Pelodiscus sinensis: one gene and its partners. The protein of the gene in region 2 interacts with the protein of the main gene of each other region in a pairwise test. Links are inferred from orthologs where the notes say so. Each region holds a gene or a part of one and is shown on either strand. Other genes may lie near its edges.

The links.
Region 1: the proteins of GADD45G (region 2) and ARPC5L interact in binary tests that used the Homo sapiens proteins (3 or more experiments, as listed by UniProt). The link is inferred for Pelodiscus sinensis from reciprocal best matches to the Homo sapiens genes GADD45G and ARPC5L.
Region 3: the proteins of GADD45G (region 2) and LRIF1 interact in binary tests that used the Homo sapiens proteins (3 or more experiments, as listed by UniProt). The link is inferred for Pelodiscus sinensis from reciprocal best matches to the Homo sapiens genes GADD45G and LRIF1.
Region 4: the proteins of GADD45G (region 2) and TSNAX interact in binary tests that used the Homo sapiens proteins (3 or more experiments, as listed by UniProt). The two-hybrid records come from large-scale screens. The link is inferred for Pelodiscus sinensis from reciprocal best matches to the Homo sapiens genes GADD45G and TSNAX.

Annotation. Positions count from the first base shown.
Region 1 is NC_134732.1:24,991,000-24,998,505, forward strand, and holds the start of ARPC5L (actin-related protein 2/3 complex subunit 5-like protein), read right to left. Parts: upstream 3,119-7,506; 5' UTR 3,031-3,118; coding exon 2,890-3,030; intron 2,115-2,889; exon of another isoform or gene 828-2,114; coding exon of another isoform or gene 789-827; intron 1-788. UniProt on the Homo sapiens protein: May function as component of the Arp2/3 complex which is involved in regulation of actin polymerization and together with an activating nucleation-promoting factor (NPF) mediates the formation of branched actin networks.
Region 2 is NC_134716.1:47,518,894-47,525,713, reverse strand, and holds GADD45G (growth arrest and DNA damage-inducible protein GADD45 gamma), read right to left. Parts: upstream 2,439-6,820; 5' UTR 2,323-2,438; coding exon 2,270-2,322; intron 2,088-2,269; coding exon 1,986-2,087; intron 1,863-1,985; coding exon 1,649-1,862; intron 1,294-1,648; coding exon 1,183-1,293; 3' UTR 569-1,182; downstream 1-568. UniProt on the Homo sapiens protein: Involved in the regulation of growth and apoptosis. Mediates activation of stress-responsive MTK1/MEKK4 MAPKKK.
Region 3 is NC_134737.1:14,473,724-14,480,871, reverse strand, and holds the start of LRIF1 (ligand-dependent nuclear receptor-interacting factor 1), read right to left. Parts: upstream 3,121-7,148; 5' UTR 3,062-3,120; coding exon 2,991-3,061; intron 1-2,990. UniProt on the Homo sapiens protein: Together with SMCHD1, involved in chromosome X inactivation in females by promoting the compaction of heterochromatin.
Region 4 is NC_134713.1:123,989,585-123,997,529, reverse strand, and holds the start of TSNAX (translin-associated protein X), read right to left. Parts: upstream 3,039-7,945; 5' UTR 2,918-3,038; coding exon 2,902-2,917; intron 2,724-2,901; exon of another isoform or gene 2,600-2,723; intron 390-2,599; coding exon 288-389; intron 1-287.

The DNA of each region.
Region 1 (7,506 bases), on a different chromosome or scaffold from region 2:
AATGGCATTCATGGGGACAGGTCACCTAAAAAGTAGCTTGATGTACTTGCAACTATAACTGGTAAACTCTCAAACTATCTGCTATTTATTTTTCTCATGCTTATAAATACAAGTAATAGCAGGACGGTAAAGAACTAATTACTTCCTTAATAGCAGAGCTCCTTTCTGAAATACATACCAATCCAAAACTATGTTATCAACTTCATACTTGGTTTCAAAAATAATCCCACCATAAAGTAGTTAATCCAGTCATTCCTAACACTTGTTCAGAAGTCTTCCAGGATGCACTTTATCTTATTTGGTGAGAATGCAACTTAAGGGTCAGCTTCTGCTCAGGAAGCATTCTGATCCATATAAAGGAGTCAGCACATACTGAAACTAGTTACTAATCAAATTATACAAACAGAATAATTTATTGGCCTGATACCTAATTTAATTTTTACAGTAAAGGAATCTTAACTACAAAATATAGGTACAAGAGAGTTCAGAGGATTGGTAATGAGAAACAGAGCCCATCACCTTTCGCTGCCAGACTGGAATCCAGTTTTGTTAGAAACCAAGTCTGATTGGTCCGAGCAGCTATCTGAAATGATTTGGTGAGGCTTAATCCAGATCCTTAATAAAGACAAATCCCACATCCCAGACACCACCACAATTATTTTTTTAACAGTCTGAGCAGAGAAGTCAAGCAGTGAATGGGGAGAATGAACTTGTCTTCTCCACATGTGGTAAAGCAGTCACTATTGATGTACGTTAGTGATGGGTGCAAGCTTGTGCCCTTTTTGCAGGTGGAAGACCCAGGCTATCATGCGCTTTTCTCTAGGTGACCTTGGAGAGATCTGCACAACTCCACCTGGTATTTTCTAAGATGCACAAACTAAAACTACTATTTCTCCTGAAGATCACTCCCAGTCAGAGACCATCCAGCTCACCTCATACAAACACATACTTGCTGTAGGCTTAATTTGAAAACAAGTCGTTTTCTTGCTTTCATCTTCTATATAGGCATTTTAATAAAAGGAATAATCTGGGTTAGGTCCCAGTGTGGCTGATGACAGTTATTTTAAGCATTTTTATATCCGTTTGGCTCAATTAACTCACTTCAAAACATACTGTCCTACTTGAAAAATTGTTTCAGAAATGGGATGAGGCAATGGAACATTCTCCTTCTATATAAGGTTCTCTATCCACTTCTGTCTGCAACCCGTATTAGGTAACTAAATTTGCTTCCAATGTTTTTAACAATCCACTATAAACTAAAAATTACAACCACCACTACAAAAATTATCAGGTCCCACAGAATCCCTTTTCTTAAGCTGCTAAACTAGTAGGTCTGTTGGTGGTGCAATATGCAAATGTAGTACCTGCAATCGTACTTCAGGTTTTTTCAGATTTCAGGATCTGATTAGAACCCCATAAGCAAAGAGATAGCAATCTTAATCAAAATTAAAGCATAGTCTGGGACATGCTTTCATTTTTTATGTTTGCTGCTTGCTTTTCTGGGTTTTGTAAATAGCACATACAAATGAGAAAAGTATGAATATTTGTCATGTAAAAAGAGTGTGATGTGATTAGAACTCATTAAGTTGGACCACAAAAGGCAGATGAAAAGGCGAGATGGATTTGGATAATATTTTAGGGATCCACGCATTTTTAGCACTTTAACAGATGTTAGAATGTAAATTATAATATAAATGAGTCCTACCTAGGAGTAGGGACATTAATTGAATAGTTAATGCAATTTGCATAGACTATTTGATTAATTGATAAGGGTGCATCTGCCTTTGAAGTGTAGCAACACCCCAAGGACTATTGCTACACTTCAAAGGCAAAAGCACTGTGGGGAGCATGGGTCCAGTGGAGGACTCAAGCAGTGCCCCGCTGGCCCCATTCTCCCCATGGCTTTTCAAAACAGTAGTGCCACGTGGAGACTGGAGTCAGACCTTGGGCTCCATGTAGCGTTGCTGCTTTGAAATGCCATGGGGAGCCTAGCATCAGGCATCACGCAGCATTTCAAAGCAGCAACACCACATTGAGCCCAGGGTCAGCAGGGCAGTCCCCGGCTGAACCTGGGTTCCATGTAGCACTGCCCCAGGCTGCACACAGTGCTGCCACTTTGAAGCACCCCTGCCATTCTCTCTCTCTCTTCCCCCCCCACACCTCTTTCTGACAGGGGGAGGGGGAGAAGGGAATGACTAATCCACTAGTGTGTCCACTATCTGATAAGCATTTGTTTATTGGATAGTTGACTAGTTGGGCACATCCCTACCTAGGAGCATTATGGAATACCGCAGAACAGTTACATTATACCCTTTATACCTCTCCAACTGTACACATTTTCAAATTGCGCAGAGCTATTTAACCTCGTCCAATCAGTCTCTGTGAAACATTCATTTCCCAAAGTTTTGAAACACAAGACCCCACTCCCTGGGAGTCCATGGAGCCAGCAAAGCCCACACTGCGGCCGAGGCCCAGGGCTGTTCAGACCTGCCATATAACCCAGGGCCACGCAGAACAGTAGAACGAGCGAGCAGCCCCGGGCACCTCGTGACTCACTCAAATGCCCAGAAGCACGAGCCTGGGCCAGGAGAGCCCATTGCGGGGGGGGGGGGGGGGGGGGGGGGGGGGAATGGCCTCGGGCCGAGTCTATTGCGGGCCCCCCCCCCACAAGCGCACGAGCCCCGGGCCCAGCCCGTTGCGGGGGAGGGGGGAGGAGCACGGGTCTCGGGGGGGGAGGGGCCCCCACAGGCGCACGAGCCCCGGGCCCAGCCCGTTGCGGGGGAGGGGGGGAGGAGCACGGGTCTCGGGGGGGGAGGGGCCCCACAGGCGCACGAGCCTGGGCCAGGAGAGCCCATTGCCGGGGGGGGAGCGGCCCCGCCCGCAAGGATATTGCCTCAGCAGCGCCTCCACCTCGGGGCCCGGGTCCGGCTCCGCCGCCGCCGCCTCGTCCGGCTCCTCCACGAACTTGTTCTCGTCGTACTCGTCGATGTCCAGGCGGCGGAAGCGCGAGGAGAGCGTGTTCCGGGCCATGCCGGCGCGAGCCGCCCGCCGCCTGCCGCGCGCCGCTTCCGGGAGGGGCGGAACCGGAAACCCCGCCCCCCGGGGGAGTCTGCAGCAGCCGGAAGGACGAGGGCGGCGTGCGGCTGTGAGGCGGGGACGCGGGGAGGGGCGGGGCTAGGCGGCCGTGGGGGCGGGGCGGAGTGCGGGGGGCGCGGGGGGGCGGGGCCCGGCCGCAGGGAGCCCCGCCCCGAGCGCTGCCCTTGGCGCCAGGCCAGCTGTTCCCCCGCGGGCAGGGAGCCGGAGCGCCCCCCCCCCGGGCACGCGCCCTGGCTTGTGTCTGCGGGGGGGGTCCGGGTGGAACCGGCAGGCCCGTGTCCCAAGGGTCCGGTTAACACCCGGCTGTGTCCAGACGAGCCGCTTTTCCGGAAAACCTGCCAGCTGCCTACACGGCCGCCTGGATTTCCGCAAGAGCACGGACTCCCCACTGTCTGAATGGGGCTTCCTGCGGGAATGCCGGCTGCTCCCTTCGGCAAAGGCCCCTTTGCGCAAAGCTTTGATTTGGTTTCCACAAAAAAGCCCCGATGGCGAAAATGGCGACCGGGGCTTTTTTGCAGAAAAGCGCGTCTAGATTGGCAAAGACGCTTTCCACAAACAGTGCTTTTGCGGAAAAGTGCCCTGCCAGTCTAGACGCTCCGTTCCGAAAATACTTTTAACGAAAAACTTTTCTGTTAAAAGCATTTCCGGAAAATCATGCCAATCTAGCCGCAGCCACGGAGACAATGGGAGTGTCGGGTATTTTCTAAATCCGATGCAATGTAGATTGTGATGCAATGTCACATGTGTCCGGTAGTTTTGTTGAACTCATCTGGCAACTCTACGTGGGGGGGTGGGCAGGTTAGAATAAAAAAGTTGAGAACCACATTAAACCATAGCAAGCGTAGGGCTACGGTAGCCCAGCTCCTTACGTGGCCAGGTCCACATACCAAATATTTTAATTACATGACAAACCATTTCAACTCTGCCCTCCTTTTAAAGTTATGCTACTAGGTTCAACCATCTCATAAATGGACATTTCCTTTTAAGATATGGAAGAAGGTGGTTTGTGACTTCTTGCAGCTAGATTTATGAATGAAGAAATTACATGCTACTCCCCATTGCTGAGGTTCTCCCCACCCCCAAGCTGTGTTTCAATTCCAATAAAAGTCTTCATTTCTCCTGTCAAGCATTTCAGTTTGCTTCTCTGTTCTTGAGAAAATGAATTGTGCCTTGGAGATACAAGAAAACAGTTAAGTTCATGACAGTCTAACAATAATATCAATGCAATCAAGATCAATTGATTTTTCCAACATTTTCTCATGCAAACTTTTTTTTTTTTTTTTTTGTGTAATAGAGAAGACATAATTGGACACTGTAGAGGGATCAGAGAAGCCACCACTCAGGTACAGTTTTATCCAAGACTTGAAAACTGTCATTTTAATACAATTACTGCCCTAAAAAGAACCTGCTGTAAATGAAGTGTATCTACTAGATTAACAGATCAGTAAATGGTATCACACTACATGCATGAGCTGAGATAGTGGCAGCACCTAGAATAATCACACCACTTCTTCCATAACAGTTTACAGAAATACCATTTGGAGTTGAGCATTACACAATTGAGGGGGTCAGTCTAGAACAGGGTTTCCCAGCCTATGGGTCAGGACCCAAATATGGGTCTCCATTACATTTCAAAAGGGTTGCCAAGTGTCTCTGTCCTCCTCCATTTTTTAATTGCCTTGGGTCACCAAGTCTTCCTGATTGTCAAAATGGGTCCCCAGCTACGAAAGGTTGGGAACCGCTGGTCTAGAACAAGGGCAGGCAAAATTCGGCCCACAGCCTGGCCCACCAAACCACCGCATCTGGCTGCCACCGTCTCACAATTCAGTGGGAGCCTTGGGGAGGCTCCCTGCCTGCTGTTTCCCTGCACACTGCTCACAGCAGCTGGTTGTGGGGGCCATGTGCTCTTTGCATGCTGTCCCCACCCCCAGCACAATCTCACAGGTCCCATTGGCTGCAAACCAGCCAATGGGAGCTGCCTGGGCCATGCTTGTGGCATAGGCAACACCCTGTCTCCCAAAGGATGCACAGCTTACAAAGAGCATATTGTCCCCACAGCCAGGGGCTTTGAGTGGCATGTGGGGACATGGTCTGCAGGGAGCCTGCTAGAGTCCCCCAGTGGGTTGCTGGCCTGGAGCCACCTAAGGTAAGTGCCTGTCAGTTAGCACCTCTACTGGACACCCCCCCCTCTACTACATCCCAATTCAATGCCCCAGGTCATAATCCACCCTCTGTACCCTTGTCCCAGATCACAATTTTCTCTTGTACCCATCCTTGCTCCTGGACTCTGCACTCCATTTTCCTACCTTGAGCTCTCTTCTGTACCCAACCGCTATAGCAGACTCTACCCCTCTTTCGTTAATCTCATGGAAGAGTACAGCCCTTGACCACTTACCAAATTCTTAGGTGTGCTCCCCCCTCAAAATTATTGTCCACCACTGACCCAGAAACAAAGTTCCATGTTTGAATGGTGTTAGGACATAGGTATTCAGGCCTATTTATTCTACCAGTGAAATACACAGAGACGTTTTGGAATTACAGTTCATCTGCAAGTTCAGTTCTCATGCTAATGGGCTCAATTGGGACGAGGGATGGCTGGGCCATTACCAACCAAACATTCAATGAAGGTGCAAACAGCTCTTTAGGTAGATTTTTGTGTTAGTATCCCCCCCTACTGACTTTGATCCTTATCTGCTTTATTTTAACTATCCAATCTTCAGGTAATTACTGATTGCCTATTCTGCCTTCCTGTTTTTCCCTTTGATTTTTTCATAATCTCTGCTCCTTGTTTCCTACCCTCCCCCACCTTTCTTTTTTTCCTTCCCCCTTATTTATTTTGGGTCTGCACATCCTAAACTCAAAACTCTGGTTATCTGAAGAAGTGGCCTGTACCCACAAAAGCTCATGATACCATCTACAGGTTTTGTTAGTCTGTAAAGTGTTACCAGACCAGTTTTTAAGTATAAATATACAATGTAAGACAGAATTGGTGCAAGAGGAGTTTCAAGTAAACAAAATTAATTTTAATCACATATCAAGACGTAAATGAATTTCCAGTGTTCCACAATTATAGTTGTCAGATTCACATTCTTGTAAAACAAAAATCCTCCTCCCCAACTCCCAAATTATTCCAAGATTCAAGGCATGGATATTTCAACTGTTGACCCAACAAAGCTAAGAAAAGTCTTCAGAGAATGTGTGTGCTTCTATTTCAGTTTATACCATTTACAAAATTATAGAAATCAAGGTCCAAATCCAAGAAAAGTGCACTTGTGGGTTTCTGTACCACATGTGAGATCAATAGGAATCCAATGAGTCTACCTGTCCCATGATCCTTGCCAGATCTACTTATAAATTTAGTACCTTGCTCTTCATTTATATGAAGTCAAAAAGATCAGATTGTTAAAGAGTAAGTTATCCTATGAAAAGAGCATGTATGTTCAAAACTACATAAACTGTTTTACTTTTGCCTGGCTTCACCAGAATACTTCTGAAATGTTAGGAAAGTAGTGACAGTGAAAGGGAAATAGCACATTCTTAAATCCCAGTGAGATTGTTAACTTGAGCCATTAGAGATGCTATAAATATACAAACTGTAAACTGAGTAAGAATGCAATAGAACCCTTTGGTAGTGCCAGGACTTGTTCCATACCTGTGACTTATAAGAGTCTGTCCAAAAAGTTAAATTATGTTTCAAGACCGCAGTCTTGGACTCAGAAGTGTTTTTACTTGCACTCAAGAATTAAAACTTATAAATTAAAATCTCAACATTTTCTTTGGTAGGAACCTGTTTACCCACTGCCAACTCTAATTGCTTTCCAGCTGTTGAATCTTTGCTGACACTATTAGATGCTTAATATTGCGATTTTACTACTGTGGCTTTTTCCAAAATTTCAATATGGAATTAGGTATTTTAGGCACAACTGCTTAAGTTCTCCTCTGAAAAGTAATTTCAAGAGTGGTTTTGTGGACTTCCCTATTTGTTTCTCATTGACCTCTAGATCAAATCCATTGTACAAATATCCCTTTTACCTAAAATCAAAGCCAAGATTGGTGTGGTATTCAGAAACAACCTAAGCTATTACAGTTACAACAAGGTTAAACAATGTTGTTAATTTACAAGCAAGAACAGGACCCAGCTCGTGTCTCTGCTACATTAGTATTTGCAGAGTCAATAACAGAAGTGACAAGCAATAACTTATTTTAGTATGTAAGTGACATCTATCCAAGGAGTGGCTGTAATGAATCATGTCATTTCTATACATTCAGTTTTCAGAAGAGAACCACTCTTTTAAAGTTTGTGTCCAAAACATAGTATCGTAACATTAAGATCAGTTCTATAATTGATAGCCAAAGTAGTTCTTACTGAGGAGGAAAGAAGACATGCTCACATCAACAAAGTAGGAGTTT
Region 2 (6,820 bases):
TATGTATGCAACAATAGTTGTGTCTGCAATCTTTTAGGTTTATTTACTTGTAGTCTAAAAGTGTGAAATGCACCTGAAATCTGAAGGGCATGTAGGCTTTCATTATATTTTGTTTCTGTAAAACTCAGGCATGGCTACTGCCAGCTAGTAACTTTTTTGATGGATTCCAGTTATTACTGGCATTTTAAATTGTAACTAAATCTTTTGTATTTTAAAAACCCAGAGGTATGAAACTTAAATTATCTTGGAACACGTGTGGTATGCCTCTAATGGACTACAAAGGCTGCCTACTACAATAACTCAGCTCATTAAGCATGCAGCTCCTCGCATTGCAAGCTGTTGAAATCAGCAGCTGTTGCAAAGGAGTGAAAGGTCAAATTATCAGTGACTAGAAAGCATGGCTATATCCCTCAGAAATAAAAATAAGTATTTTCAAGTAAGGGCACATTACCATGGTCTAGTTGATTATAGCACTTCATAGGAGCACAGGGATATGAAAGAAAACGCAAGTTCTGAACTTTAAAAAGGACAATGAGGTTTTCCCCACACAGTAAGCAAAACACAAGAGTTATTTATATTAAAAAGTTTATTATAAACATTAGAGCTTTCATAGCAGCATAAAGAGTATTATTGCATTAGTAAACCAATGTTTTCTAAACAGCCCAAAGGCCTTTGATAAATTGTGTCTGCATAAGAGTCTTTGCAGAAAAGTCTTTGTATATTGTCACAGTAACAAATCTCTAACAGACCATCAAAGTGTTTTCCTCTTAAAGTTTTGTAGTGCCAACAGTTCCTAGTTACAATATTTTGTCCAGTCTTTCCAAGTTATTTTTGTCCAATTTCCCAACCTTCTGTCCAGCTTTCTTAAACTTCCACTTGACCTGAAAACTTGCAATATTTCTTCAGCTCCTGGAAACTTGCAATACTCATTCAGCTCCTTGGCACGCCAGCCATTCCACTACTGCAAGGTAGTAGGGACTCACTCCTGGCATGAGACATCCCCTTCCTCCCTCACATCTTCCTTCTCCACAAGAGCCCACTGCTTGCCAGTCTGAGCGACTTAATCCGATCTCTTGACCAGGCTAATCCACAGAATCAGCAATGTGTTGGTTCACCCAGGCGTGCAACACCATGACGAGAATGCAACAAAGGTTTCAACCTCTCCAGTGCAATGAATCTTCATCACTCAGGCAGGGTGATAGTGGGCACCCAATCATTGACATGCCGGCTTTCCTCACAAAACAAGTTGAGCTTTTCCAGCGCAGGGTCTTTCCAAGCATCCTCATCTGGATTCTGTGATAAACAAGGACAAAAAAAACCCAAAACACTTCATGAGTTGGTATTACCAAGCTAGAATGCCAAGAGATAGGTACTTTGGGGAAAGGTTTGGTGAAGGGGCTAGCACAGAAAGCAGGACTAGTCTCTTTAAATGAGCAGGTATCTCTTGCCTAGAAACAAGGCACCGTTGGCACTGGGGTGGCAGGGAAACGTGTGGTCTTAGCTGAAGATCAGCAATCAGTCCCTGTACCAGCCATGCTCTGAGACTCCAGGGGGCATGGCATTTGGACATCTTAAGTCCCTGTGGCAGCAGGGGCAGCTGCAGCGGGGCAGGTCCGGGCTGCCCGCAGGCCTGGCAGAGGGCACTCACCGTGATGAGGATGCAGTGCAGGTCACGGGGCTCGCCCGACTCTTCGCTGGCCCCCACAATGTCGGCCAGCTTTGGGATGTCATGCAGGCGCACAATGTCGATGTCGTTGTCGCAGCAGAAGGCCTGGATGAGGGTGAAGTGGATCTGCAGGGCAATGTCCCCCTCGTCCTCCTCGGCCGCTGCCAGCACACAGAACGCCACCTTGTCGGGATCACTGTGGGGACAGAGCAGCTGTCAGCCCGGGGACAGAGAGTGGTACAGCCCCAGCAGCCCCCGCCGGGCCGCCTCTAGCACCCTCCCTCATCCCCAGCCAGCCACACACAGCTCGGATACTCACACGTTCATCAGCTTGGCGGACTCGTACACCCCGGCGGTGAGGCCACCGCGCCGCTGCGCCGACACCAGCAGCTCGTGGAGGGCTTTGCCCGCGCCCTGCATCCTGCAACACACAACGGGGAGGCGGCTCAGTCCCGGGTCCAGCGCGAGACCCCCAGGTCAGCCTCCCCTCCGGGCTACCCCCTGCACGCGCCCGCGCCCCGGCCGGCATCTCCGAGCCCCGCCACCACCCTCTCCACCGGGGCTCAGTCCCGGGGCCCGCCGCACGCTCCGGCGGCCACGCACCTGTCGCTGCTCTCGGCCACTGGCTCCTGTCCGTGAATCTCCTCCAGAGTCATGTCGCGTCTCACACGCTGTATCCGTATCCACGCGGGGCGGCTCGGCGCTAAGATCCCCCCGATCCGCTTCCCTCCAACTTGCTCTGCTCTTGTCCCCAGCGAGAATGGAGCGAGCTGGCGGCGGCGGCCGTATTTATAAGCAGCCTGGCTGCGGGGCCGGCAGCTGGCGGAGTCTCTGCAGCCCTCATTGGCCAGCCTAAGGGAGTATTATTATGATAATCAGGAGGTAGGCTGGGCCGGCTCGTGCCAGGAGGCCACGTGGAGGGGTAGTGGCGAGGGGTAAGGGGGGGCGGGGGATTACATTGCCTTCAGTCTGCTGCTGCTTTTGTTATATTTTGTTGCCAGGCAGACTGCAGATTTAATTGTAAAAAAAAAAAAGTAATAAAAGGGGAATACATTACGTTGAGTTGTCTGGTGTCATTGCATCCTTAATAAAAACGATGCAAAATGCACTAAAATATTACATAGACTAATGCAACTCTTACCGGTTCATTTAGAGAACACTAAAAAATAACTAAGGCAGATATCGCAAAAAGAAGTAAACGGTGAAGAGAGTGTTTTGCATTACAAATACACCCTACATTTACACGTGGGTCATTGTATATCTCGCTCCCTAAGTTTGCATCTTTTGTGTTGCATGTTTTGTGTTCCTATCCCAGCTAACTAGTTATCTTTGCTTTGCAAACTTACTAGCTCCGTAGATGGCTGCAGAAATGTTCTTGCAAACTTTACCAAAATGAGGGCACAAGCCCTGCATAAATAATGAGTCGTTGTGTGGAGCAGATTGTGGATGGCACACGCTGCTACTTTGCATTTCAATAGAAAGCGCACAATAGTGGAGGTCTGGCGTGTGGCAGTTTGGAGTTCAAACAATTGATTCTTTTTCTTCATAGCAACACTGTCCACCTGCCACTGGGGTGGGGATTTGCTGCTGGGGTGGAGGGCAAGAGAGGACAATTGCATTACTCTCCTATCGTCCAATCTGCCTCTGCAGATGAATGTCTCCATTTGCACACGCTTCTGGAGTGCAATTGAATGCCAGGCATTTTGAGCACGCGATCATTAAATAGTTAAATACTTTATTATAGTTCTTTGTTTTAATCTTTCATACACAATACATTTCAGAAAATTACACATGCACAGTTTGCAAGTAAGCATCCAGTATTTCAATACAAACTTGGAAAAGGTAATGCAGAGCCTGCTTTTGTAATTAATTAAAAACAGCCCATTAGATATGTATCTATTTCCTCAAATGTAACTGTTCAATAGTTTTAATAGAAACTAAAAAGTTGACACAGTTTGTAGATTATGAACTCACTGTATATTCCACGCACTCACTCGCCCTGAAAACTATCAAGAGTTTCATTTTACTAAGTATCCAAATCAGTGTACTTCATGCACTTGAACCCATTTCTCCAGAAATCCCTGTTGCTTTCTTTCACTCTAAAAAGTCATCTTGATTAGTAGCGCTATCTACTGGATGTTGAAGCAGCTGCTGCTAAAATGTATCCTCTACTGTCGCCTTGCCCTAGATACAAGTTACTGTGCAGACACTAAAAGGATTTGCTGTGGGAGGGAAGAACCAATACAGGCAAACCAAAAAGGGGACAACACATATTATAAGCCATGATCCATATGCAAATTATCCAAAAGCCTGATGTATAATTCCCTGTACTTGTTCTAGAGTACAGAAACTGATGCCTCTGTACACTTACAATAAGGTTTGCATTTTCTAGCAGAATGGTAATCAGGAATAAAATAGAATTGCACCACCTTGTGGGCTTAATGATTTAGACACTACCTAACAAATAAATGATATAAAATTGTCTTTAGAATGAAGAAAAACCCTGAGATAAAGTATTAAATGCACAATATACAGTATTTATAAAATAAGTGTATGCTAACTGTGCCACTAGACTACATTGACTACAAATGACATAATGCTGATTTAGATTTTTCAAAAGACATTCTAGAAAAACTTCCATCTAAATCAGAATGTAACCCCCATAACATTTCTCTATCTATATTACTGTGCATACACAATATCGCTAATATTACCATAGCCTTAGAATACTCTGTTTAGAGTATTTTTGCCATTTTGCTTTTGGCACCTCTCACAGGCTACATCTACACTGGCCCCTATTACGGAATAGGCATGCTAATGTAGCACTTTGGAAAAGGCAAATGCGCGGGGGATTTAAATATCCCCTGCGGCATTTGCATTTTCATGGCAGCCGCTTTTTTCCGGGTTGGAGATAAGCCGGAGAAAAGTGTCCAGACTGGCGCGATCCTCCGGAATAAAGCCCTATTCCGGAGGATCTCTTATTCCTACTTGCAAGCGGGAATAAGAGATCCTCCGGAATAGGGCTTTATTCCGGAGGATCGCGCCAGTCTGGATGCTTTTCTCTGGCTTATCTCCAAGCCGGAAAAAAGCGGCGGCCATGAAAATGCAAATGCCGTGGGGGATATTTAAATCCCCCGCACATTTGCCTTTTCCAAAGTGCTACATTAGCATGCCTATTCCGTAATAGGGGCCAGTGTAGACGTAGCCTCAGGGTATGTCTACACTAGCCCCCTAGTTTGAAATAGGGTGGCTAATGTAGGCATTCGAACTTGCAAATGAAGCCCGGGATTTAAATATCCCGGGCTTCATTTGCATGTTCCTGGGCGAACGCCATTTTTAAATCCCCTTAGTTCGAACTGACTGCCCGCGGCTACACGTGGCAGTCAGAAGTTAATCCAAACTAAGTCCTTAGTTTGGATTAACTGTTACACCTCATTGCAGGAGGAGTAACAGTTAATCCGAACTAAGGATTTAGTTCGGATTAACTTCTGACTGCTGTGTGTAGCCGCAGGCAGTCCGTTCGAACTAAGGGGATTTAAAAATGGCGCTCACCCGGGAACATGCAAATGAAGCCCGGGATATTTAAATCCCGGGCTTCATTTGTAAGTTCGAATGCCTACATTTGCCACCCTAGTTCGAACTTGGGAGCTAGTGTAGACATACCCTCACTTAGTAAAAACCAATTATGTCCATTTCCTTGTCAAGTTCTCTGGGCTACAATAGTTTGCAAGCCCTGACAGGGAATATCTAGTTTGTTTTTAAAAGTTGTTTTTCAAATAAGCAGAAATGTTCCAGTTGGGCCAACGTTTATAGAAACTTGATTTTAGAAAATCTAATTTGGGATCAAATTTGTGGATATAGTGCCCTTTTAAATGAATTTAGAGTGAAAGGAGCAGGATTTAATTAACTGAAAACTGAAGTTTTCTATTTAACCCCCCTCACCCCCCAAGAAGAGCTAGCAGTAATACAGGATTCCCCACAACAATGGCATCAGTGCCAGATGAACCAAGATGAGGGTATTTTCAGTTTCTATATCTATTCAATTAACTGGTATCAATGCTGAGGCTAACAGGAAGTGTTTGTTACATGGAGAGCTGTCCCATAAAAAGTCTGGGGGCGAGGGGAGCTGAGGGCTGAGACCAGTACCAGCTTGTTTCACACAGGCCACTAGAAAGTCATCATGAAGTAATGATATATGATTGCTACTAACTTAGGCAGGATTTTCTCCAGCAACCTATAGACAAAGGAGTCTGTAGCCTCTTACCAAATCTCCTGGGGGCATATAGTCCATCTTTAAATATAATTTGAGTCCAGAACACTGCAAGTGTCCTTTTCAATACTTCACTGCTTCATTTAGGAATCTTAGATCAAGAAGCATCTGGACTAGAGACTCCTGCCTCTGTTGTGGCAATGTATGCTAAATGTATTATTTTATCCAAAGAAAAGTTTCAGCCTTTTAAAATACTGTACTGTAATTTCTGTTCAGTTTGGACAGACTTCCAATGTAACACTTTGTATTATTTCTTTTTATGTTTATTTTTAGTTACTTCATGAACACTAATATTGCTATATCAATGACAAAATCAGAATTAAAGTCTAATGGCTGCAATATATTCAGGTTTTGTAAGCAAAAAATAAGCTGTTTAATTTCAGGTCCCAAAAATAATTTCCTATGGAATCTCCATTTAATTTGGGTGTCCAGGAGAATATACTAGATAAACCAACTCTTTCCTGATAGCATTTCTCAGATTACATCTAGTGTGGAATACAGTTCACTAAAGAGACTGCCTGGAATATTGCTTTGTCTGTATTCTCAAATATTAAATTTAGCCACATTTACTGTAGTAGAGGCTGGCTTTTAGGCACATGCACAATGCCTACAATATAATTCTGCCTCTGCAATGGACTTGCTTGAGAACATCATAACCTCTTAATTTATTTAATTGTAAAAGGAACATAATCATATCTGGTTCACAGAGGGTTTGAGAGAATAAATGGGCCATATTCAGTCCTAATGTAAACAGAGAATTCCAGGTAAGTCAGTACAGTAGTGCCAATTTACACCAGGATCAAATTTTCCCAAGTGTATTCACTCCTTTCCAAATGTCAAATGCTATACATGTGCTAAGTATTGAAAATTATTTGTCTAGCCTA
Region 3 (7,148 bases), on a different chromosome or scaffold from region 2:
AATAATTAGGAATGTCAAATCTCACACAGCAAGGTTGCACTGCATACTGTGAACTCTCTCAACCATTGTCTGAAGGAGAAGGATGTTGGACCCTCAAGAACCTGTACTCCAAAATGTTTATTCATTGATGTTAATAGATATTCCTTCAGTAGGTTACTTCCCTCCCCTACCTGCATTTGAACAAAAGTAACATTCCCCTCAATCTGAGTTTACCAGAATGGCATCTCCAGTATAGTCTTACCAACTCAGTCTTTGCAACCATTATGAAAGGCAAGCCGTGAATTTCTAATGTGAACGATAAAGAACAAAATTATGATTCTCTTTCTCTCTGAAGAGGAAAAAATTCAAAACAAGCAAAAGACTTTTCAGTCCTGCATGATACCTCAATGAAGCGAGAAGGTACAATAACAGCTTCCCCTCTTTTCTTTTAGCTACCTTATAATAGTGTGCCTTTAACCTCAGTCATCAAATTGTTCATTTTGTGAATCTCATGTAAATAAACCCACTAGTGGACAGCTAATTCGCTACAAATTTGGGAAGACACCATGATACAGGCTCCATTCTCTTCCGATGTTAACTCTGAAACCTCAAGCTGGAAATCTAAATGCATATTGTAAATTGGGAGCATGTGGACAGAGTAAAATAAAAAAACAAACTGCACAAGGAAATTAATTGCCTATTTTTGACAATCAAACCAATAACCTAAATAAAAAAAAATCAGAAATTGCAGCAGAGGCTACAAGAACAAGGGATCTTGCTCCAGAATTTAGGTCTAGCTTGCTTTAAAGGACTCAGGGCTTTGGCTTTAACCAGGTAGTTGTAGCAGAAGCATAACAAATCCTTTTGCTCTTCAGGATTGTAGGATGACAATGTCTTCCAATGATGAGTGCACAAGACTTGTAGAATTAGTTTTATGCTCCTTGGTGACAAAGTTGATAAAGAAATCCTTAACATGGATTAGGCTTAGGAGTTGTTCATTGCCAGAACAGAATGATTCTTAACTTCTGAACCACAGCTGCACCAATCACAGGAATCCCATGATGTTCTTCATGAAGCATTAGATGTTCGAGAGATTCAGAAATCAGAAAGTTCTATGAAGCCATTGCTGCAATTCCATGTCCATTTTTAGTCTACATACTATGCAGCAATCTAGTTTCTCAATTTCAGAGGGCCTGAAGAACTTCAGATTTCAGTCGTGATTAAGCCCAAATAGAGTCAAGGGATCATTCAGACTGTAAAGCTTTTTCTACAGACTCAAGATTCAATAAGTAAGCTCTGTTTTCACAGCTGGTTGCTCTTCTGAATGTTTGAAGCTCTGGCACTCGAGAAAGAATGTTCTTTTAGAATAGTCACAACTCAAAAGTGCATTCCAGCTTACCATGTTCTGAACTCATCTGTTTAATAGACTTCTCCTGCTCCATCGGAAACAATCTGTCTTGATTCACACAGTCAGAACCGGAGAAAGACAGCTCCTCTTTACTGTTTTCAGTGAAATTGTTGATACAATAGGGCCTAGTGTGTTCTCCATTTTTTTGTGTGTATTTTAAACATCATTGAGTTTCCTCATTTGCCTCTTGGGAGAGAGGAAGACAGACAACAGAGCTGAAGGCCAGAACTGCAATTACAGGGACGTAGAACTGCAATTACAGGGACGTAGACCAGCGCATCTCTGATCTTTCTGTAACCTCTAGGGTTCGAAGCTGCATGCCACTCAGTGCAGCTCTCCTCTTCTCACTGAAGGAGGTGACCTAACATGGCTGAAACAATATGCACTTCTCTAACAAGCGAGCTACCTAGAACACAAACTAAGGCTAATGGTTCCAGCTTAGTTATTAACAGTGATGAGCTATTTCTAATGACTGTTTAGATTAGAATTAATACATTGCACTGATTAGATTTGGCCTGCTCCCTTAAAAAGGTTAACCCTGCCTGCAAAGAGGGTACTGACATAAAAGTTAAAGTGGGAATGAGTAACTGCCCTTCTCTAGATTAAATATAATGCAAGACCACTCAACCTCAGAGCTGTGAAAAGAGGAAGTTTTGCTCTGACTCATGCTCCATGGAAGAAACATCTTTGCTCCATTGAGATTTATTGTACCTGTAGAGTCATTGCTCTATTGGCCAGTTCTGTTTGCATAAGAACAGACCCTTCTATACATTTTATTGGGAGAAACCACACAGTGATATAGACCTATGCACAAGAACAGACCCTTCTATATATTTTATTGGGAGAAACCACACAGTGATATAGACCTATTCTGGTAGTCTCTCTGCCATAAAATGAGCTTATTGCTATGTCCTTTCCAATTCCTTTTCTATTGACCTGGTCATCCCTTCCATCCTGTAATGATCAGATAGTTTTCAACATTAAACACATGTAAGAGGTGTAGCATTTTTTTAAAGGGTGGTACTAATCACTGGATGTGTTCTACTTTTAAGATCTGGACTAAGCCACTCATGAGAGCCTTCCACTTTCCCCATGAAGATCACAATGTAGTAGGCTAACTCACTATTGCTTACTGTACAAACGTTTCCCTCACTCATGTGTTTACACATAGCTGTGGCACTTCCTGCAGGACCCAGGGCTGCAAGTCACATCATCACTATCAGTAGCATTCGACATGCATCTGATCAAGCGGGTCTTTGCCCACGAAAGCTTATGCTCCAACACTTCGGTTAGTCTATAAGGTGCCACAGGACTCCTCGCTGCAGTAGCATTCAGTGTGAGGGACTCTTATCTGAATGGGCATCAGGTAACACGGCTTGGCCTCCTCAAATCTCCATTTTCACTCCTTGTTGCAGCCCTGGGACCACACGATGGCAGGACTCAAAGCTCTTCTGGACACCCAGGGTGGTGAGCTGTGCCAGGTACTGCCAGAACAGAGGCAGGGCTTCGGCTGTAAGGATGGCAGAGTCTCAAATAGAAGGGAGAAGGAGCCTAGCCTTGCCAAGGGGGAGGAGGGAGAGCATGTACTGCCCATAAGACTGACCTAGAGCAGGGAGCTACACATGGGTTCCCAAAATTAGGGATGTTTTCCTTTGCTGAAGAAATTCTTGCCATTGGAAAAAGCTGCCCAGTCAAAAGCCCAGTGACGCTTTACAGAGGAATAACGTGCTCTGGTGTGTGACCAGGTCGGGGTGAGCAGGGCGCGCGTGTCAGTGTCACACACAACGCGCTCGGCTGTGCCCCTCCAGCACTGGACAGAGCAGGGAGCGCAGGCTGCAGGCTCAGCCCCCCCCGCCCCGACTCCCTCCTGGGCCGGCTCCGCACCCGCGGGGACGCCAGAGCCCGCCCGGCTGCTGCCAGCGAGGCCCCGGGCGGGGAAGCGGCGCGGCGCCCAGGAGCCCCCGCGCGGCCTGCGAGCGGCCCGGCCGGGTACTCACCACTGCGCGCCGCTGCCGGGCCCGGCCTCGCAGCTCTGCGGCGCCCCCAGCGGCGGCCCGGACATGGCGCGCGGCGCTGGCCCGGGAGGCGCCCCCCCGCCCGCGGCGCCGCGGGGCTCTGTCCGGGGCCCTGCCCGCGCGCGGCGGCTCCGTGCTGGGCGGCGGCGCGCGCTGCCCGCGGACTCGCCTCACGCCCCCGCTCGCGGGGCAGCAGCCGGCCCGCGGGAGGCGGACACGTATTTCCGGCGGCGGGCGCCTCTCGCGAGCCTACTGGCCCGCTCCTTCGCGCCGAGCCAATCGGGAGCAACTGCCCGTGCAGCCACTTCCGGGTCACGGGGCCGAAAACACAGAAGAGCGGCCGGAAATGGCCGCCTGCTCGCTTGTCCGCGCAGGCGCGACGAAAGGTCACTTCCGGGCGTGTGGGAAACACTTCCGGTAAATGAGACTCACTTCCTGTTCTAGGAAAGAAGAATTCAATGGTTGTGTTAAGGCTCCCCAGCATGTGCAGCCCAGAGTGTGATTCCCAGCTACTCCCTGACTCCCCACCATTGACACCCCACATCCCATCACCCTCAGCTTGCCCCAAGGATCCTCACTAACCTCCCCAGGCACCCCATGATCCCTTCAGTCTGCAGCCCCACACCTGGCCCTTTATCCTCCACTCACCCCAACTCACCCCAGTCACCTCTCACTGGCCCTCTATTAGCCCCCCACCCCCAAGTACTAATCCCCAATTACTCTTAATTTCCAAATCATCCCTACTCCTCATCTCTTTCCACCAACCCCTATAATTAAATCTCACTAAGGCCACATGGGCCCCTTCATTCTCCAGTCACCTCAACGACCCCCGGTTACCTCTTACTGCCCTTCCCATTGACCTCCCCACTCCCTATTACCCCAGTTGTTTCCTAGTTACCTCTTACTAACCGCTCCACTGACACGCTACTCTTCATCCAACTGACCCTCTCGGTTATCTTCTACTTTCTCACCCCCAACACCCATCATCCCCACTAACCCTGAGTCATAGAATCATAGAGCTGGAAGTGACCTCAGGAGGTCATCAAGTCCAGCGCCTTACCCTAGGCAGGACCGATCCCAACTAAATCAACCCAGCCAGGTCTTTGTCAAGCCGAGACTTAAAAACCTCTAGGGATAGAGATTCCACCACTTCCCTAGGTAACCCATTCCAGTGCTTCACCAGCCTCCTAGTGAAATAGTTTTTCCTGATATCCCCACTGTAATCCCCAGGTCGTTTTCTGCTGAACTGCTACTTAGCCATTCAGTCCCCAGGCTGTAACAATGCTTGGGATTCTTCCATCCCAAGTGCAGGACTCTACACTTGTCCTTGTTGAACCTCATCAGATTTCTTTTGGCCCAATCCTCTAATCTGTCCAGGCCACTCTGGACCCTATCCCTGCCCTCCAGCGTATCTACCTCTCCTCCTAGCTTAGTGTCATCTGCAAACTTGCTGAGGGTGCAATCTATCCCCTCATCCAGGTCATTAATAAAGATGTTGAACAAAACCAGTCCAAGAACAGATCCTTGGGGCACCCTGCTAGAAACTGACTGCCAACCTGACATCGAGCCATTGCACTACCTGTTAGCCCCAACAGTCTAGCCAGTTTTCTATCAATCTTACAGCCCATTTATCCAATCCATATTCCCTTAATTTGCTGGCAAGAATGTTGTCGGAGACCATATCAAAGGCTTTGCTAAAGTCAAGGTATATCACATCCACTGACTTTCCCATATCCACAGAGCCAGTTACCTCATTATAGAAGCTAATCAGATTGGTCAGGCATGACTTGCCCTTTGTGAATCCATGTTGACTATTCCTGATCACTTTCCCCTCTTCCAAGTGCTTCAAAATGGATTCCTTGAGGATCCCCTCCATGATTTTTCCAGGAACTGAGGTAAGACTGACTGGTCTGTAGTTCCCTGGATCGTCATTCTTTCCTTTTTTAAAGATGGGCATTACATTTGCCTTTTTCCAATCATCTGGGATCTCTCCCGATCTCCACGAGTTTTCAAAGAGAATGGCCAAAGGCTCCTCAATGACATTTGCCAACTCCCTCAATATCCTCGGATGCATTAAATCCGGGTCCATGGATTTGTGTATGTTTTAGCTTTTCTAAATAGTTCCTAACTTGTTTTTTCCTCACCAAGGGTTGTCCACCTCCTCCCTATACTGCGTTGCCTAGTGTATTTGTCTGGGAGCTGACCTTGTCTGTGAAGACAGAGGCAAAGAAAGCATTGAGTACTTCAGCTTTTCCCACATCATCTATCACTAGGTTACCTCCCTCATCCAGTAAGAGCCCCACACCCTCTCTGATCAACCTCTTATTGATAACATGCCTGTAGAAACCCACCCAACTGATCCCCCAATTACTCCTCATGGACTCCTCATTTTCCAGTCATCCCTAATTGACTGCCCAGTTACCCCATACTGATTCCCCACAGTTCTTTTCTGTGACCATTGGTTCTAATTGGCAGAGGGCAAAAAGCATAGATTTTTACACTTATCCCCTAATTAGGTTATGTGCATGATACTTCATCAAAGGGTGGTATGTGAGTTCTCTACCACGAGTAACTAGCCCACTGGTCATCATAATAATTGTGAAATGTATATAGTGATAATATATAAGAAATTATGTATTTATGCAGAAAATTATATTCTTCAGTTTTAAAGGTAAGGCACATTTTAAAGCTAGGCAGGTTACCAGGAGATGATTTTACTCAGAAATGTTCCTTTCAGGCAGAAATTAACAGACACCTAACTTCCTGTCTGGCCATTTGGGATAAAATGGTGTCCTTGGCCTCTGTTTGTCAGAGGCTGGAGAGGGATGGCAGGAGACAAATCACTTGATCATTGTCTTCAGTCCAGCCTCTCTGGGGCACCTGGTGCTGGCCACTGTCGGTAGACAGGATACTGGGCTAGATGGACCTTTGGTCTGACCCAGTACGGCCATTCTTATGTTCTTATGTATACCTCACAATGTATTCCACAATGTACACTGAGCCAGGGGTGGAATGGAAGATTCTGAAATATACCCAAGAGGACATTTTTAAGATGAAATATACAGCTGATGATGTGAGTGTGGGTTTATAAGTAAAGACACAAGATTGTTATGGTATCTCTTGGGATGCAATGAAACACACGGGGTCCTTAAGCTGCGAGGCAACTGACTTCATTCTTGTAGCACTAAAAAAGGGTGATAGCCAACCTGGCCGTAAAGCATTGTGAGGATTTGGGGTGAGCAATACTTGGTTAGACTTAAGAGTATCTTGTTAATGGGAGTGCTGTGATTTTATATGTAACAATTTGTTTCCAATACTTCTACTCTCTACTACTTGAATCTCTATGTGTAGTCATATAGACTTATACAGATTTAGCGACTATGACCTTGTGTTCTTGGCCTTGATTTCCCTCTTCCCCACACAAGGGGGGAATGGCTGCAGAAAACAGTCCAGGGGAGATAAACAGGGGCATCTCCTGAATGGGACTTGGGAGCTGGAGACATGATAGTCTTCAGGCACAATCTCAGGCTCATTGTCCCTCTCCTATATGATCACAGGGCTTCCCCTAGGAGGGGCTTTGGGTACAGTGCAGACTGTCATGCCTGGAGTCCTGCAGCCTCCTCTTTGTCACCGAGGGTGGTGTTTTACTCTTCCATCTCAGCAGCACCCTAGGCTGCAGATGCAGAAGGAGTAAACAGTGGGGGGGGGGGGGGGGGGAGAGGAGGTTCCAGTTTTAGAACATTGAC
Region 4 (7,945 bases), on a different chromosome or scaffold from region 2:
CTCCTGCTCTGCCTCAGAAGTCCATGACAGAATCATATCCTTTGTAATCAGCAAGAAGCGCTGTGTCTCACCATTCCCCTAACTAAAATATTACCGCATCATCTCTACCATGGCACACTGCTGGCTTAGAAAGCAAGAGATCAAGCTCCAGATTTAAGGATGTTTTGCTGATTTCAATCTTGCCTATGGACAACTGTATTTTACTCCATCATTAAATATTTTATTTCCACTAACTTTTATTGTACACATTGTTAAGGTCACGGTCTGAACTTTCAACTTTTACTTACACTTAAAAGACACCACCAAAGATGAATTAGCATTATCTTTTTCATCGTTCCTTTGGCCATGTGGGAAATTGTCATGCTTTCGTTTTCTGAACCCACCCGATCCTATAAATAAAACACATTGGAAAAAAGTGAGATTCAAATAGTATTATTGATCGCCAATTTAATAACATTTTGACCAGATGTCATGGCATTCATTTCAGAAGTGTTTTTAGGGAGGTAATGGAAATGCTCTGTATGGATACTGAGCCTCAAACTGAGCACGTAGGAACACAATGAACTATGAAAAGTTAGGTCACCAGCACTAAATACCACCCTCTTCTAAACACTGGTCTACACACGAGTACAAAATCTGTATAAGTGTGGGCATGTCTACACTACCAGCCAGATCAACAGGCAGTAATCAATCCAGCAAGAGTCAATTTATAGCATCAGACATGATAAGTCACTTGCCAATGCCGACTCCAGTACTCCATCAGAACTGGGAGCACAAGAGGAGTCGATTGGGAGTCTCCTTTTGATGCACGATAATGTGGTAAGTAGACCTAAGAACATTCACTTCAGCTACACTATTCACATAACTGAAGTTTCAAGATCAATCTCACGCCATAACATAGAACAGGACTACTCAACACATGGCCCACAGGCTGCATGTGGCCCGCGGCCCGTTTGTTTGCAGCCCGCAGTGCAGTTTGGGTTTATGCAGGGCTTAACATGCAACCTGCGGTTGGTATCCTTTGAACATGGCCATCACTAGGAACATGCTCCACAATAGAGAGGCATCTCTCAGGCAGGGTGAACATTTCAAGATGCAAGCAGACAGGCTGGCTGGAACAGACGGATACAGGGTGTCAGCATTTCTAGCCCCTAGGGAGGAGATGCAGAGAGCGGCGGGGTATTGTGGAAGGTGCTGGCTGCTTAGCTTTGCGGGCAGAGCCTGAGAGGCACTGACTGGCTCACACTAAGGATGTTAAATATCAGTTAATATACTAGTCGAGCAGTCGATGGAATTTCCACTGACTAGTTGATAGGTACTTCTGCATTCCTCCTCTGAAGTGTACAAGAACCCCCTTAAAGTGACAGCACCACATGGAGTCCGGGGTCAGCTCCTTGTGGTGCTGCCATTTTGAAGTATCCCCTCTTCTCCCCCCCCCCCCACTTGCTGCCTCTGATGGGGGCAATAAGTGGGGGAATCAACTACTCAACTAGCCAATAAGCATTTGCTTATTGGATAGTTGACTAATTATTAACATCCTTAACTCACACTAGCCACATTTGGAGCCCTGCCTCCACCCGACATGGAACAACAGACTCCCGCGGCGAGAAAAGCCGCTCCGCGTCTCCCTGGTCTGCTGGGGGGAGGGGGGCGCAGCTAGTGCGTCCCCCCTCCCCCCCAGCAGACCAGGCTTTTCTCGCTGACGCCTGGAGTAGAGCAGCTGGGGGGGCTGCCGGGTTGGTCCCACAGCACCAAGGTGCGGCGCTACTGGATCAATCCAGCAGCACCCCAGCTGCTCTGCCCCAGGCGTCCCCAAGCCAGCCACTGCTGAAACTGATCACCGGCTGACTACAGGAAGCAGGAGACAGAGCTGCTCTGCCCCCTGGGCTTCCTGGAATCAGCCGCTGATCAGTTTCAACAGCAGCTGACTTGGGGACACCTGGGGTAGAGCAGCTGGGCTGCTGCCCAATTGGTCCCCGCAGCGCCGAGGTGCGGCGCTGCGGTGACCTACCCGGCAGCGCCCCTGTTGCTCTGTCCCAGTCCAGATTCAGCAGCTGTTGAAACAGATCAGAGGCTGATTCCAAGAAGTCCTGTAGTCAGCCACTGGTCAGTTTCAGCAGCAGCTGACTTGGGAACACCTGGGGTATAGCAGCTGGGGTGCTGCTGGGTTGGTCCTCGGCACTACTGGACCAACCCAGCAGCACCCCAGCTGCTCTGCCCCAGGCGTGTCCGATTCAGCCGCTGCTGGTCAGTTTCAACAGCGGCTGAATCTGGACACCATTTCCGACTTACCTACAAATTCAACTTAAGAACAAACCTACAGTCCCTGTCTTGTAGGTAACCCGGGGACTGCCTGTATATGCAACCACACTTAAGATGCGGCCCTAGGCTTGTTCTGTGAGTATCACTGTGGCCTCCATAGCTGAGTAGCCCTCGGGCAGCCCAGGGCCTGGGCCAGTTAAAGGGTGGGATTTTTTCCTGGTATAAGTGTGCTGCTACAATCCCTAGGAACGATGATGCATTTGCTCCACTATGGCTTAGTGCCCCCATAAGCGATACCAGTGTAATCACATTTATAACTGTTGCAAGCAAACTGTACCCCAGTCATTCTACGCGCGAAAAAGCGGCGGCGCAAGACGTTCCGGCGCCTCGCTGCGCCCCGGCCGGGGCAGCACTGGGGCCCGGCTCTAGCCACAGCTCGGGAGCGGGGGAGTCCCTCCCGCGGAGCCACCCGCCAGCGCGAACCCGGGGGGGTGGAACCTTCCAGGGGCCGGCGAGCAGCGAGGGGGGGGGGGGGAGGGGAAGGTCACCGATCGCGGCCGGGGAACCCGCCGGGCCCTCCCCGCCCCCGGGCGCAGCAGCGACGTGCTCTGGCGCCGCCAAGCGCGACCCCAGCGTCACCTTCTTTGCCGCTCATGTTCCCTGCTGGGTGGGGGGGGGAGGTGACGCCCCGCCCCTCTCTCTCACGCGCGCACACACACTCCTGGGCCCCGCCAACCGCCGCCACCAGCGCCTCCAGTCTGAGCCGCCCCGCCTGAGCGCCCCTTCCGTTAGGACCCCGTCAGGTGATTATCGCAAGCGCCTGACAATAGCCCTCAACTTGCGGGAGCCAACCCCTCAATGCGGTCATAAAGCGGGAAGTGGTGAGAATGGAGACGTCACCGTAGGGGGAAGGAGTCGGCATTTCTGTCCGCGAAGGGGTTAGGTCAAGGAAACTAGTCTTGCTTCCACACAGGCATTCCTCAAACGGCTAAAGTACCCCCACTGAAGGACCCTAACTACGTACCCGTGAAACCGGTGTATTGTGGGAAATGTAGTTCTTTACTGGGAACGTGGTGACCCACCCGATGCCTTTCGCGAGCCCCAGCCTCTCGGAACGAAAAGCCAGCAGCTCAAAGTTCAAGTCTCAGATTTTCCTTCCTAGCCGGCAGGGGAGAAATTAGATCCCAAATTCTCGCTTTCCAACCTTTTAGTTCTTAATACAAAATCTAATTCCACGTATTAAAATGTTTCACTTTTAACATTTTTAAATCAATTTCTCAAAACAATGTCTCTGCTTTTGCAAAAAATACTTTTCTTTTTTCCACAATTGCCACCAGATTAAAAAATACAAAAACTCCAGGGGGAAGCAAGAGTAAAAATGCACGAGGACTCATGAAATGCATCTTCTCAAAAAGTTCTAGAAAGCTATTAGTTATGGCAACGAGGAGTCCTGTGGCACCTTACAGACTAACTGAAGTGTAGGAGCATAAGCTTTTGTGGGCAAAGACCCACTTTGTCAGATGCATGTAGTGGAAATTTCCAGAGGCTACCCCTCTGATACTATTAGTTATGGTAACTCCAACCACACTGTCAAATAACATTTGTCTGTGTTGTGCATGAGCAACCAATAACTATGCAGAGAAGTGCCTGTATGTCACCTTCAGTGATACCAGACTAAGGCCTGAGAATTTTCCAAAGTATCTCAGAAAGAATGGTACTGGATCAGAGCCTTACAGGGTGCCAACATTTGACAAAGATAGCTGCCAAGTCAAAGGCGATGAATAATCCACAAATAAGATAGTATCGTAATGCCACTATGTTGATTCACAGTACACCCACTACCTTTGACTCTGTGTGCAGTTCCATCTCAGACAACTAACATAGATAGAAACACTAACCCTGTTTATTTTCCTGCTGCATTGTCAGGGATTTTAGTTAACACTGGTTTATGGCACTGGCTACTTCCCTTGAACTTGTTCCATATTGCAATTAGTGTAAGTGTGTGATCTATGAGAAAAAATTGGTATCACGCAACTTTCACATATAGTAACTGTACACCCTAGCCTAACTATTGATATCTATCCAGAACAATTTGATCTTTGTTTAGGGTAAAATTTACCAATTTACACCAATGTGATTTCCTGTGGACAGAGTCTGGCTGGACATTAGCTCTATAATACAGGAAAATACTTCTTATCATAAACATTATCCAGACATAGCCCAGGTCTAGCAGAGCAGGGGAGTGTGACATTCCCCGTTAGGTACCCTAGACTGGACTGGCAAGAGAATCACCTCTGAGGGACCCCTCTAGGCCACCAGGTGGCCAATGGACTGAGGGAGAAGGAGTGGATTCTAAAGACAATCAGACCCAGGAGAAAAGGCCTGTCCCTGGCAGGAACCTGGTGCAGAGCAGAAGCAATTGGGGAGGGAGGAAAAGCCCATCTGGGTCCTTGTTATCTCTATTACTAAAGGAAACTCTGAAGACATCTCTATGGACACTGAGCCCCAAGTTGCTCACATTGCCCTAATCATGTGGGCTATCCGCAAGAAGGACAAGCTCTGAGGAGTGAAATCAGAAATGTTCACAGCACTCTGGCCTGACAATGCCATAGACTCTGCCTTCTCCCATTTACTCTTGATTTGCTCTTGGCTCTGACCTTTCCTAAACCCCAGTCCCTTCAGTCACCCATGCTCCTTACTCCTTTACCATCAGCAGTGGATGATCCAATGGGCAGAAGGAGTGCCCTGGCCAATTGGGTGACCCTAGAAAAATTGATGTCCCACTCCAGCAGAATCCTTTTATGGGGCAACAGAAGCCTGAAACCCTGGCAGAAGCATCAGCAGGCCTAGAGAAGCCCCTGCACCCTGATCTTGCTCCCCAGCAAAAGTGCTGAGTGGAACAGGAGAAACAAGGTCCCCAAACCTTGTCTCCCTCAGAAGCCCAGAGTGGCAGGGAAAGCCCCAGCACCCAGACCCCACTGCAGCCCCAGGACTGAAAGAGCTCTAACACCCTGCCTCGGCCTCAGAACTAGGGGGGCTCTAAGTCTCCACCATAGCCCCAGGGCGATAGTGAGGGGACAGAAGCGTCTCTGGTATTGGAGTCACAAGGTGGGGCAGAAAGGAGCAAACAGATTGTGAGGCCGCAATGCAGGGGTTCAAAATGAGGCAGGACTGTGGGTAGAGCAGAGGGAAGGCTGTGGGGGAAGGAGCTGAATAAAGTGGTCCTATGGGCAGGGCAGGGCTGCAGGCAAAGGTGTGTAGTGGGGCAGGACCATAGGTAGAAGGGATGGGGAGGGGACCCCCACTTGCTCTGGCCCAGGGCCTTAATTGGCCTCTCTCTGTTTGGTGCTTTCCCCATCTCTCTATGTCTCTCTTTTTCTCCATTCCATTCCACTCCCTTGCTCCTAGTGTAATGAACGTGCTGGCTAGGGTAACCATATGTCCTGATTTGGCTGAGAGAGTCTGTTTTTTAAGCCCTGTCCAGCCATCCTGATTTTTTTGGGTAAAAGTGAGCCTTTGCCCTGTTTGCTTTTGCCAGCTTGATCAGTTGCCAAGAGCAAACAGGACAAATGTCCACCTTTGTCACGCACACAAAAAATGAGGTGTGGGGGAGAGAGGGTGAGCTATAATGCCTGTCCAGTCCCATGGAAATCAGGGCTCCTGTGGGGACAATCATGACTTGAGTGAGCAACACCAATCCCAGCCTTTGGGAAATATGGTCACCCTCTCTAGTTTGTGGATTACTGCTTGTCTGAACCCTGCCTGACCTCTGTATGGGGAGGGAAGCTCAGACGAGTGGCTCAGACCAGACCTATGTGGTGTGATGTCCCATTTTCCCTTTTGGGAAATATGTTCACTCTAGTGCTGGCTCAGTAACTGGGTTTCTTCCTTCCAGACCAGCTGAGCTGGAGGGAGAGGCTCTAGCCAGAGAAGCAAAATGCAGGACAATGTAGCACTCTAAAGACTAACAAGATGGTTTATTAGATGATGAGCTTTCGTGGGCCAGACCCACTTCCTCAGATCAAATAGTGGAAGAAAGTAGTCACAACCATATATACCAAAGGATACAATTAAAAAAATGAACAAATATGAAAAGGACAAATCACATTGCAGAACAGGAGGTGGATGCAGGGGGGAGGAGGAAGGAAGGTAAGTGTCTGTGAATTGATGATATTAGAGGTAGGGAGAGTGGGATGTTTGTGAGTTAATGGTATTAGAGGTGATAATTGGGGAAACTATCTTGGTAATGGGTGAGATAGTTCAAATGTTTGTTGAGTCCTTTTTGGAAAGTGTCGAATTTTAACATAAATGACAGTTCAGAGGATTCCCTTTCAAGTGCAGATGTAAAAGGTCTTTGTAGCAGAATGCAGGTGGTTAAGTCATTGAGAGAGTGTCCTTTCTGGTTAAAATAGCAAGAAACTGTTTTCTCTTTGTGATCTTGTCTGATATCTGTTTTGTGGGCATTAATCCTTTGGCGAAGTGTCTGAGATGTTTGTCCAATGTACATAGCAGACGGACACTTTCGGCACATGATATCAATTCACAGACACTTACCTTCCTTCCTCCCCCCCCCCCCCCCCCCGCATCCCCCTCCTGTTCTGCAATGTGATTTGTCCTTTTCATATTTGTTCATTTTTTTAATTGTATCCTTTGGTATATATGGTTGTGACTACTTTCTTCCACTATTTGATCTGAGGAAGTGGGTCTGGCCCACGAAAGCTCATCATCTAATAAACCATCTTGTTAGTCTTTAAAGTGCTACATTGTCCTGCATTTTGCTTCAGCTACCCCAGACTAACACGGCTACATCTCTATCACTAGCCAGAGAAGGGCACTGTGTGTTCAACACCCAGCCAGTAGAGGGCTCCCTAATCCCTAGAGAAAGCACATCCTGGAGCTCACCAGAGATTGGCTTTGGCAAAGAACCAGGCTGAGTGCAGCTGAGGCTATGTCTAGACTACACTGATCTATCAGAAAAAGGTACACAAATTGCATTCCACAATTTGCGTACCTTTTTCCAGTAGTTTTTTCGGAAGAGGCTTTTCCAAAATTTGGCCCGTCTATACTGGGCCAAATTTTGGAAAAACCTCCTCTTTCTGAAGAGTCCTTCTTCCTCATGGAAAGAGGAAGACAAGGCTTCCAAAAGAGTGCGTCTGCTCTTCCACAAAAAAAAGTGGAAGAGAAGACACATTCCCTGGACACAGCAGAGAATTTCCTGGAAAAGCCCCGTAGTGTAGACATAGCCTAAGCTATTTGAGACATGTAAGTGAAAGATGAGATCTATCATGCCGCTGACAAGGGGCTGGTAGTAGCTACAGTAGGAGGATAGAGGGCAGTGGCCAGTATGCAAGGGGTTAATAACAGGACTGGCCTTACCATGCGGTGAACTGAGGCAGCTGCCTCAGGTGCCAGACTGTGGGGGGCAGGGGACACCACTAGTACCCAGAGTGTAGAAAATTGTGTCTGCTGCTGGTGCATATGTATTCTCTCTGCTCTAGATGCACAGAGATGGTGGAGTGATGTGCTGGAGAAAGGAGGGCACAAGAGACATAACAGACAGGCAGGAGAAAAGGTGGCAAGGGGGCATCATTTGAGCTCCCCACCTTAGGTGCCAAAATGTTGTGGGCTGGCCCTGGTTAATAATGACGTCCTTGTACATTTCTTTGCACTTTTTATTTTGCCA